Linked DNA regions of Mus musculus. The protein of the gene in region 1 interacts with the protein of each later gene in a biochemical or structural test. Links are inferred from orthologs where the notes say so. Each region holds a gene or a part of one and is shown on either strand. Other genes may lie near its edges.

The links.
Region 2: the proteins of Ddit3 (region 1) and Fos form a complex in vitro, tested with the Homo sapiens proteins (2 studies listed by BioGRID and IntAct, with this or other methods). The link is inferred for Mus musculus from reciprocal best matches to the Homo sapiens genes DDIT3 and FOS.
Region 3: the proteins of Ddit3 (region 1) and Atf3 form a complex in vitro, tested with the Homo sapiens proteins (2 studies listed by BioGRID and IntAct, with this or other methods). The link is inferred for Mus musculus from reciprocal best matches to the Homo sapiens genes DDIT3 and ATF3.

Annotation. Positions count from the first base shown.
Region 1 is NC_000076.6:127,289,511-127,293,255, forward strand, and holds the start of Ddit3 (DNA damage-inducible transcript 3 protein), read left to right. Parts: upstream 1-1,282; 5' UTR 1,283-1,381; exon of another isoform or gene 1,382-1,488; intron 1,489-3,745. UniProt on the Homo sapiens protein: Multifunctional transcription factor in endoplasmic reticulum (ER) stress response. Plays an essential role in the response to a wide variety of cell stresses and induces cell cycle arrest and apoptosis in response to ER stress.
Region 2 is NC_000078.6:85,472,751-85,476,495, forward strand, and holds the start of Fos (proto-oncogene c-Fos), read left to right. Parts: upstream 1-1,139; 5' UTR 1,140-1,289; coding exon 1,290-1,430; intron 1,431-2,184; coding exon 2,185-2,436; intron 2,437-2,841; coding exon 2,842-2,949; intron 2,950-3,066; coding exon 3,067-3,708; 3' UTR 3,709-3,745. UniProt on the Homo sapiens protein: Nuclear phosphoprotein which forms a tight but non-covalently linked complex with the JUN/AP-1 transcription factor. In the heterodimer, FOS and JUN/AP-1 basic regions each seems to interact with symmetrical DNA half sites.
Region 3 is NC_000067.6:191,180,727-191,184,471, reverse strand, and holds the start of Atf3 (cyclic AMP-dependent transcription factor ATF-3), read left to right. Parts: upstream 1-1,138; 5' UTR 1,139-1,379; intron 1,380-3,745.

The DNA.
Region 1 (3,745 bases):
GGGAAATGAAGGTCTGGAGCGAAGGAGCAGTCTGGCCAAGGACCTGTCACCGTCGCACCATCCAATAGCAACCGGTCTTGGTTCAGTTTCTACTTAAACTCTGGCTTGCCCCTCTTGAGTCTACGACAGACTATGTAATAGGCCACCACATGGCCTCTGTTTTCATGGCACAAAAAAAAAAAAATACGTTTTGCAAGATGTTTTTACTTTTACTCAAGTTTTCTCCACAGAGCTGCTTTTTACCTTTATCGTTGTTTAATTTACAAATGAGTAAGGTAGAATCCTTGGACAAATTAAACTAGAATCTGTGTTTCCTCTGATGACCCAGTCCAGGGCAATCATGCGTTCAAGTGCATGCACGTCCCAGGCTCTACTGTAGGTCGTGAACTCAGACAGCTAGAGGCAGGAGGCCAGCTCCTCAGCAGGGAGTCACAGGACTCGCTATCTCGGAGAAGGAAGAGGGTGGATACTGGGCTTAGTGAAGGGCGTAAGAGCATCACACAAAGCAGGGGTGGGATGAGGAGGAGGCAGCAATCTACACTCTGTAAAGAACTTCAATCCTAGCACGTAATGGACGATTCAGAAACAAGCGTTAAAGGTGCCTCTCTGAGAGAAGCGGGTGGACTATCAAGGAACTCAGTCTTTGGGACGCATTAGAAGGCTAAAAGAGGAGGAGAGCTCTTAAAAGATTCGAGGAGATGTCAATCCAGGTGAACAAATTGGAAACTTTAAAGAGGTTCCAGAGCCCCGGTGCCCATTAGCTGGGAGGGGCCAGGGAAAATGGGAGCCTTTCATGGAGGAGTAAGTTAAAGGTGATGGGAGGTGGGCAGACAAGTTCAGGAAGGACAGCCGTTGGGGCCGTTGGACACTGGGAGCTGGCGCTCCGCCCTCTTTCCTCTCTCCCCCATAGCCCCCCTCCCGCACCTCCCACCACCATCGACGTCCCCTGCGCGTGCGCGCGCGGACACCGGTTGCCAAACATTGCATCATCCCCGCCCCCCCATCCCCTCCCTCGCCGCGCTCTCCTCCGCGCGCGCGCATGACTCACTCACCTCCTCCGCGAAGCCGCGTGACCCAAAGCCACTTCCGGGTCCGAGACAACGTAGACTCTCAAGCCAGAGGGCGCGATGGGGGTGGGGCCGTGAGACTCCTGAGTGGCGGATGTAAGGGATGAGGCGGAGCCAGTGCCAGCGTGCCGCTTTCTGATTGGTAGGCTCCTGGACCCTGCCCCCCCCCCAGGAGGGGCCGGACAGCATAAAGGATACTCGCTCTCCGCTCTTGAGGTCAGTTATCTTGAGCCTAACACGTCGATTATATCATGTTGAAGATGAGCGGGTGGCAGCGACAGAGCCAGAATAACAGCCGGAACCTGAGGAGAGAGGCGAGTACTGGCTCCGTCTAACCCTTACCTTCCCATCCTGGCCAGCATAGCTATTTTATAAAGTTGGAGACAACTGTTCTGGAGGATGTAGCCCCACCCCTTCCACTGTAAGCTTGTAGACTGGGAAGGGTGAAGGCCGGGAATCCCTGATTCAGGAATGGTGCTTACAGGCCCTCTCTTGCATTGGGCGATTGCATTCCCGTTCCCTTGTCTCGAGTTGGTCCCCACTCTGCAGAGGGACTCCGGTTGCCTTCGGGAACTTGTCTCTGTAGTGCGAACTGCGGGCCAGCTTAGGCCTGGGCAGTTCGCAGGAAAGGCGGGGCAGCAGGACACACCCCCAAAGTCGGGGACTCTGGCTGTCTCAGCCTTTTCTTCACCAGCCTCATTCCCCCCAACTCTTTCAAGCTGAAGCGCCTCAGTCAAGGGGCCAACATGGCCACGTTAGTAGCTGACTCTCAAGTTCAAGAGAACGCGAAGACTGACAGATCTTTGCGAGTGGGGGTGCTGGTGGGAGGAGCATAGATGGGTTTTTCCCTTTTCCCCAGAGGTTTCTAGGTTTCCATACAAGAGAGCAGCCTGGATCTCTTTAACTATGGGAAATTATTTGGGATCTCTCCAGGGTCTTCTGCTTCTCCCAGGGCTGATTGATCTCTGCTTCTTTCCTCAGTCCCGTCTCCTAACTAAACTGTGTAACCATTGCGTCAGGCCAGCCCACTGTTTGTCTCTGCACCCTCAGGCCTGGGGCTCCTCTGCTGATGAAAGCCAGGTCCCACACACTGGAAGACCAAGGGAGTTTTCCCTAGAGGACAACCCTGCAGAGAAACACTCAGGGCAATATTGCATCTGCAGTCCCCAGAGACAGCCAGCTCCGCTCTGCCTTTAGGCTCAGTGGGCTTAATTCTCTATAAGGGAACTTGGGGGAGGGGCTTTTTCCCCATTCATTCCTAACAAATGCCTAATAAGCACCCACTATGTACCAAGTATCTGGGGACCCAGGGTATATTAGGAGCAAAAGATAAAACTGTTCTCAATAAAACTTACATTTCAGTATAAAGCAAAAGGGAAAAAAAAAACAAAAGCAGGGCAGAATAGTTCAGGGCGGTGACTAGAGGTTGTCATCAGAAGCCAAGCCTGTGAGCCAAGCCCCGGTGTTAGAGCTTTATAGAAGGGAGAGGCTGAGCAACAGAGTTAAGATAAGCATGCCATGCCGGTATCTTTAGGAACAGGACTAGAGTAAGCAGGAGAGGGTGATGAAAGGAAACTCAAGCAGCCGGTCTCATAGAGCCTTGCAAGCACCCTCATGATGCTAATCTTTAACAATCATGAAACAGGAAGCCATTGGGGGATCTGAGCAGAGGAATGATCATAGCACATGCATTTAATTCCAGCACTCAGAGAGGCAGATCTCTGAGCTCCAGGCCAGCCAGGGCTACATTATGAGACCCTGACTCAAAATAAATACAAAAACAAAGGGTTAGGTATGTAGCTCAATAGTACACTGCTTGCCTGGTATGTAGAGGACCCTAGGTCAACCCACAGCCGTGAAAATAAAGTAAAAGACAAGAATAGAAACAGGAGGTCTCAGCTGAACATAGTGGCACAGCCTTTAATCCCAGCACTTGAAAGGCAGGCAGATCTAAATTCAAAGCCAGAGAGTCTACAAAGCAAGTTCCAGGACAGCAAAAGCTACATAGTGAGACCCTGTCTAAAAGAGAAAGAAAGGAAAGGAAAGGAAGAAAGAAAGGAGAGATTTCAAAGAGGCTTCCAAAATAATCCAGGGAAAGAAATGTATGGTAAATTTATATCTGGAGCCAGGCAGTGGTGGTGCACGCCTTTAATCCCAGCATTTGGGAGACAGAGACAGGCGGATTTCTGAATTCGAGGCCAGCCTTGTCCACAGTGAGTTCCAGGACAGCCAAGGCTACACAGAGAAACCCTGTCAAGAAAAACCAAAAAAATAAATAAATGAAAAATAAAAAATTGCATCTGGAAATAATGTAGTAATGAGAAATACTTAGGTTTGGGGTACTTTTAAAGTTGTCAGTGCTTTAGGCTGAGCTGTGGTATCTGAGAAAGGGGCATCAAGGATACCAAAGTTTTTGGCTTTCAGCACCTAGAGTTGCCATTTAGTAAGAACTATACAGCCTTGGTAGGAAAGGCCTTTCATGTAAGCTGAACGCCTGCTCAACACTGCCAAGGAGCTGGAGATCCCAGAGCAGGTCTGCACTGAGGCTGCCAGTGGGGGGATGGAATCTGAGCAAGCACTGCTGAGTTTACTCTTCCTTCCCTCTAGTTCTGTCTCCCTTTGGCGGACTTGAGGTCTATCTGGGATTTAGAGAAAACTTAGTTGGCCAGGACTTTGCT
Region 2 (3,745 bases), on another chromosome or scaffold:
CCCCCCTTCCCAAGTCCGATCTGGAAAATCACCCGCTGCAGGCGGGTTCCTTGTAAGCGCAGTTTCCAGGCTGCACGTATTCAGACCCCCATCTCCCCAGCACCGACTTGCTTTCTCCTCCCCCCCCCCCCCCGAGCTCACCTCACTTTGTAATTCTGAGCTCCCCCCCTGCCCCGACTCGCCCTCTGGTCTCAGCTCAAAACTAAACATACGACCCCTTCAGGCATACTTGTAGGGTGGTTTTGCACAATGTTTATCCGTCAGTGTCAACGGGGACTGTCGCCTTGATAGCTCTAAGTGGCTAAGGGTCGGGGAGTAGGTGCTGCCGTCCTTTAAAACACGAATTTATGAATGAACCCAGTACTGTAGTTAAATCAGGTTATTGTACACTTATTTACAATCCTTCACTTGCTGCTTCCAACCTCAGTCCTAAAGTTTCTCCAGGCAAGGAGCTGGAGAGAGGGGCTGAGAAGCTGACCCCCCCTTTTTCTTCTCTGCACTGATTTGGGATGGGGGGCTGATGTGGGCAAGCTTTCCTTTAGGAACAGAGGCTTCGAGCCTTTAAGGCTGCGTACTTGCTTCTCCTAATACCAGAGACTCAAAAAAAAAAAAAAAGTTCCAGATTGCTGGACAATGACCCGGGTCTCATCCCTTGACCCTGGGAACCGGGTCCACATTGAATCAGGTGCGAATGTTCGCTCGCCTTCTCTGCCTTTCCCGCCTCCCCTCCCCCGGCCGCGGCCCCGGTTCCCCCCCTGCGCTGCACCCTCAGAGTTGGCTGCAGCCGGCGAGCTGTTCCCGTCAATCCCTCCCTCCTTTACACAGGATGTCCATATTAGGACATCTGCGTCAGCAGGTTTCCACGGCCGGTCCCTGTTGTTCTGGGGGGGGGACCATCTCCGAAATCCTACACGCGGAAGGTCTAGGAGACCCCCTAAGATCCCAAATGTGAACACTCATAGGTGAAAGATGTATGCCAAGACGGGGGTTGAAAGCCTGGGGCGTAGAGTTGACGACAGAGCGCCCGCAGAGGGCCTTGGGGCGCGCTTCCCCCCCCTTCCAGTTCCGCCCAGTGACGTAGGAAGTCCATCCATTCACAGCGCTTCTATAAAGGCGCCAGCTGAGGCGCCTACTACTCCAACCGCGACTGCAGCGAGCAACTGAGAAGACTGGATAGAGCCGGCGGTTCCGCGAACGAGCAGTGACCGCGCTCCCACCCAGCTCTGCTCTGCAGCTCCCACCAGTGTCTACCCCTGGACCCCTTGCCGGGCTTTCCCCAAACTTCGACCATGATGTTCTCGGGTTTCAACGCCGACTACGAGGCGTCATCCTCCCGCTGCAGTAGCGCCTCCCCGGCCGGGGACAGCCTTTCCTACTACCATTCCCCAGCCGACTCCTTCTCCAGCATGGGCTCTCCTGTCAACACACAGGTGAGTTTGGCTTTGTGTAGCCGCCAGGTCCGCGCTGAGGGTCGCCGTGGAGGAGACACTGGGGTGTGACTCGCAGGGGCGGGGGGGTCTTCCTTTTTCGCTCTGGAGGGAGACTGGCGCGGTCAGAGCAGCCTTAGCCTGGGAACCCAGGACTTGTCTGAGCGCGTGCACACTTGTCATAGTAAGACTTAGTGACCCCTTCCCGCGCGGCAGGTTTATTCTGAGTGGCCTGCCTGCATTCTTCTCTCGGCCGACTTGTTTCTGAGATCAGCCGGGGCCAACAAGTCTCGAGCAAAGAGTCGCTAACTAGAGTTTGGGAGGCGGCAAACCGCGGCAATCCCCCCTCCCGGGGCAGCCTGGAGCAGGGAGGAGGGAGGAGGGAGGAGGGTGCTGCGGGCGGGTGTGTAAGGCAGTTTCATTGATAAAAAGCGAGTTCATTCTGGAGACTCCGGAGCAGCGCCTGCGTCAGCGCAGACGTCAGGGATATTTATAACAAACCCCCTTTCGAGCGAGTGATGCCGAAGGGATAACGGGAACGCAGCAGTAGGATGGAGGAGAAAGGCTGCGCTGCGGAATTCAAGGGAGGATATTGGGAGAGCTTTTATCTCCGATGAGGTGCATACAGGAAGACATAAGCAGTCTCTGACCGGAATGCTTCTCTCTCCCTGCTTCATGCGACACTAGGGCCACTTGCTCCACCTGTGTCTGGAACCTCCTCGCTCACCTCCGCTTTCCTCTTTTTGTTTTGTTTCAGGACTTTTGCGCAGATCTGTCCGTCTCTAGTGCCAACTTTATCCCCACGGTGACAGCCATCTCCACCAGCCCAGACCTGCAGTGGCTGGTGCAGCCCACTCTGGTCTCCTCCGTGGCCCCATCGCAGACCAGAGCGCCCCATCCTTACGGACTCCCCACCCAGTCTGCTGGGGCTTACGCCAGAGCGGGAATGGTGAAGACCGTGTCAGGAGGCAGAGCGCAGAGCATCGGCAGAAGGGGCAAAGTAGAGCAGGTGAGCAGCGATTCTGGACCTTTGTGGGCTGGGGGGGGGGGGGGGGGCGGAGACTGACGCACAGACCACACAACAGAGAAGGGACGCTACTGACTGCACTTCCTGACCAGGAGCTGTGGCTGCTAGCCCTTTCCCTCCCTTGTCAGATTTTGACAGTTGGACCCAAGACAAACTCTAGACAGTTTCCCTGACAGCTTCCTACTTCATTCTCTAGCCGGGGAGCTTCTTTGTTCCCCTGCTAAAGATCTCACTTTAAATGCAAATCACACTCTGCCTGCCAACTGCAGGTTAGAAAAACTGCTTCACCGAGAGGTGCGGGTGCTGTAGGAGCCAGTTTCACTGGGGTGACTGAATGGAGGTGACACTAGACAACCTTAACTGAATGTTGGTCCTTTTCTTCTATAGCTATCTCCTGAAGAGGAAGAGAAACGGAGAATCCGAAGGGAACGGAATAAGATGGCTGCAGCCAAGTGCCGGAATCGGAGGAGGGAGCTGACAGATACACTCCAAGCGGTAGGTTGAACCAGCTGCTGCTCCTGAAACTTTATTAAAGTTGGAGCTTGGGACTATGGGCGCAGGGTCCTTGAGCATGCCCGTGTCTTATGCTTTCTTATATCTCTCCCTATGCAGGAGACAGATCAACTTGAAGATGAGAAGTCTGCGTTGCAGACTGAGATTGCCAATCTGCTGAAAGAGAAGGAAAAACTGGAGTTTATTTTGGCAGCCCACCGACCTGCCTGCAAGATCCCCGATGACCTTGGCTTCCCAGAGGAGATGTCTGTGGCCTCCCTGGATTTGACTGGAGGTCTGCCTGAGGCTTCCACCCCAGAGTCTGAGGAGGCCTTCACCCTGCCCCTTCTCAACGACCCTGAGCCCAAGCCATCCTTGGAGCCAGTCAAGAGCATCAGCAACGTGGAGCTGAAGGCAGAACCCTTTGATGACTTCTTGTTTCCGGCATCATCTAGGCCCAGTGGCTCAGAGACCTCCCGCTCTGTGCCAGATGTGGACCTGTCCGGTTCCTTCTATGCAGCAGACTGGGAGCCTCTGCACAGCAATTCCTTGGGGATGGGGCCCATGGTCACAGAGCTGGAGCCCCTGTGTACTCCCGTGGTCACCTGTACTCCGGGCTGCACTACTTACACGTCTTCCTTTGTCTTCACCTACCCTGAAGCTGACTCCTTCCCAAGCTGTGCCGCTGCCCACCGAAAGGGCAGCAGCAGCAACGAGCCCTCCTCCGACTCCCTGAGCTCACCCACGCTGCTGGCCCTGTGAGCAGTCAGAGAAGGCAAGGCAGCCGGCATCCAGACGT
Region 3 (3,745 bases), on another chromosome or scaffold:
AACTAATTTCAAGTTTCAAACCCAGGTCTGCTGAGGCTTTGGCCTGAAATCGAGTCCTTTGCCCAGCCTTTCCCGCCACCAGATTTGAGTACAAGAGGGCTCGGTGTTCCGGCTTTAAGCGGTGCGCGTTCAGTCCCGGCCACCGTATCCCTAGAGCCCTCTGTTCCTGCAGACAGACACTCGAAACCTGGAGCCGGTTTTTCTTTCCTGATATCCAGGCGGACCCCCACCCCCGCCCAAACCGGGAGCGTAGAGATCAAAGCGTCCTCTTTCCCAGACTAGCCGAGCCGCCTTTTTCCAGCCCTTTCTTATCCCTGCGCTAGGTGGCTCTGATCTCTCCAAATCTTTCCTCTTTCTACGCTCTTGCTTTCGTGGAGAATTCCCTGTTCATTTAAAAACGTTTTGTGGTTGTTATTAAAAATAAAAACAACAACCGAACTGACCGCGTCCGGTCACTAGCACTTCGGGTTCCTAGCGAGTTCGGGGGCCGTGGGCGTGGGAGCACGAGGCTGCCGAATGTCTACGTTAACCCACAGCTGCTAGCTGGGTCCCCGGCAGAGGAGGTCACAGTGGCGGGTAACGGTGTGGATTCATCGGAGTGTAACTTTGGGCACCTCCTTCACGCGGGAGATTGTCACCGCTATCCCTTCCCCGCCCCCTCCTTAGGCTAGGCCGCTGGTCAAAGAAGGCACATTTTCCTGAAGTTTTAGAAAAATGACCACACATTTTAGAGAAAGGTCGTGCCCGCTTCCCAGCCTCACCTAGTCTGGGCCACTGCCAGGATCCGCCTCCCAGCACCACCACCCCCCCTTCCCCAACCTAGCGGAGGGAGAGATGCCAGGGCGGTGGAGTCATGCCGCTGGCTTGGGCACCATTGGCTCATGCCTGGAACACGCAGCGGCGAATACGCACATCTGGCGGTGCGCCCGGGCGGCTCCCAGCCTGATAAGGAGATAGAGGGCGGGCGGGTGTGTGTGTCCCGGGCGTGCGAGGAACGCAGGACGCGCCGTGACCGCCCCTTCTCGCACTTGCATCACCAAGTCCGCGGTCTCCACCCACCTTTTGCCCCGCCCCCGTCCCTCCTTCACCCCTCCTCTGGCCAGTTCTCCCTGGAAGCTATTAATAGCATTACGTCAGCCTGGGATTGGTAACCTGGAGTTAAGCGGGCTCCCTGCCAACGCGAGGGCTTTAAAAGGGGTGATGCAACGCGCTCCCAGCCACAGTCTCACTCAGCGAGACGCCGCGCACGGTGCTTCCCCAGTGGAGCCAATCGGCTAACCCGCGCTCCGGCAGAGTCCTTGGCGCTCGCCCGCCGGCGGGACAGACCACCCGCCTCTGGCCGCTCTCTGGACCCTGGCCGCCCCGAGCGAAGACTGGAGGTGAGTTAGAGCCACACCGAGGAGCGCTGCCCTCCTCACCCTAAGTTCCCCTCTGGTGACCAGTCCCGGGACCCTTGCGCCACCGGAGACTGAAGCCCTAGTGTCCGTGCCACAGTCGCTCGGCTGAGCCGCTCTTTGCCGCTGCCGTTCTTAGCTGGTAAAAAGTTTCTGGTAAAGTGAAAGAACGAACTTTCTCTTTTGACTCGAGGCGTGAAAGATGCCCAGGGACGGAGGAGTTGCGCTCTCAGTTTGCAACTAGGAGAGGTCGTCTGGGTGGAAGGTGGGTGCTGGTGCGCGGAGGTGACTCACACTCTGGCGATCGGGGTCCCCTCTTCCATCCATCACTTCTTGTCCCGGACCCTGGACTCGGAGCGGGTCCCTCCTAAGTCCGCGTAGAGGCGCAGTGGCCGCGGCTTGTTGAAGCGCTGCTCCCGGTATCGAGCTAAATGAATGAAGACCGGACGCTCGAACGGAGGTCCGGCACAGCCGCTGGAGGTCGCCTTGCGCTCCCCGGAGCAGAGATCTGGGCAGCATGACCGCGTAGAGCGCTGTGAGCGAAAGTGTGTTAGGATAAGTTTGGAGGCGGCGAGCCCTGGTGTGGCGCTGTCCCGGGGCTGAAGGCCGAGAGGTCTCCGCACCAGCTAACTTCGGACCGCTAGGTTTGAGACGTCACTTCCAGCCTCACTCGCTGTTGTGACTTGCTGTGCTCTGGCTGACTTTTAACCGGCCCTTGAGTTTCTTTATGTATTGGAAGGGAAGCGAAGGAATCGGATCAAGCGGGTGGAGGGACCAGGGTGTGGAACCACTTGTACTTGGGGGGGGGGGCGTGCGGGGGGGGGGTTGTTTGTATTCTCGTGACAGAGTCTCACTCTGTAATCCAGACTGCCCATAAAAACTCCGGCCAATCCTCCTGCCTCAGCCTCCCAAGTGCTGAAATTACAGGCCCACACGCCCAGCACCTTTCTGTGCGCTGTGTGCTTCAGATAGCCAGCTTTTGACAGATTTGTTTCTAGACTAAAATAATTAAAGTAAAAGGAGCCAGGGAGGGATGTTCAGTGTGGAGGCTCCCCCACCCAGCGTTCCTAGCCGGTCTCTGAGACAGGACAGGAAAGGGGGCCTCTCTTACATCTCTGTCTCCTAGCTCTCTCCCGTTGGATTGATTCCCTGCTTCGACCCCATGCTCATTTTCAACTCCCATTTCTGTATTTTCCTCTTAGCCATTTTATTTGATTTAATCATGTAGCTCACGAGCTTTCTTATAAATTAAAGGAGTTGCCAAGCCCGATTATTTAAAAGGTTTATTCTCCCCTCCTGTTGTTCCACTCTTTTGAGACAAAGTCTCCCTATGTAACTGGGGCTTGCTTTAAACTTATGGCAGTCTTCTAGCCTCGGTCCCCAAGTGCTGAGATTACAGGCATGTGTCACCAAGAAGGGAGCACATGTTTTGCATGTTGCATTTGTTATGGGATAATGTTACCACATACAGGCTCTTGCTTGGAGCGGGTGGGGCTGGGGTGGGGGTTGCTGTTGCTTCTATCAAGAGGTTTCAGAGGCTGCTGACCAGGTTCCCAGAGTGAAGAAGGCATTGCCCAGCACCTGTGGCTATCTAAATCCCTTCTTGGCACACCAGTTTCTTCTGGTCTTCATTCTGTCAGAGCCTCCTCTATGAGGGGTGCCAGGTATGGGTCTCTTCAGCCCTCAGTTGCCCCCCTGGCAGGCAGCTCTCTCTGTGGTTGCTTATTTGGTTGATCTATTGAACTAACTGATGGGTCCTCCTGGTAGTGCAGAATGAGTAGAGGGTGGGTGTGGGCAGCTTGGCTGGACTGGACCACACCCATCTCTGTGAGTTTAGTTAGGCAAGTGCTTTCCTTCTGGGACCTCAGTTTATTCAATGACAAAATGGGGGTTTGAGCTAGACAATTCTAATGCTGGGAGTCCCGTTGAGTTCCTTTAGCCAAAGTCTGTGATTCTTTAAGGAACTGGCTACAGGGGTTCCTTGTCAAGGGAGGAGGGACATAGCCAGGACCCCCCAGAAACTTCAAGAGAGAAATGGTTTCCTATGTGAGAACTCACAATCTTGGCCAATCCAACCCTAATGGAGGAATGCTGATGTCAGCCAATTGGGTGTAATTCACCTGGTGTCTTAGGAACTCGGGGGTCAACCACCAGTTGTGACAGACTGGCTTGAAATTCTTGAGGGTTCCAGTCAATTCCTGATGACTAGAACTAAACTGAACTGAACTAGATCAGGGTCCCTGAGGGGCAGGGAGAATGTGAATGTATGGATCCTAATTTCCTTATGTTTTAAAGTTTGTGCATGTGATGTGTTGTTCCCCACAGCCCTGGGAGGGAACTGGTCAGTTCAG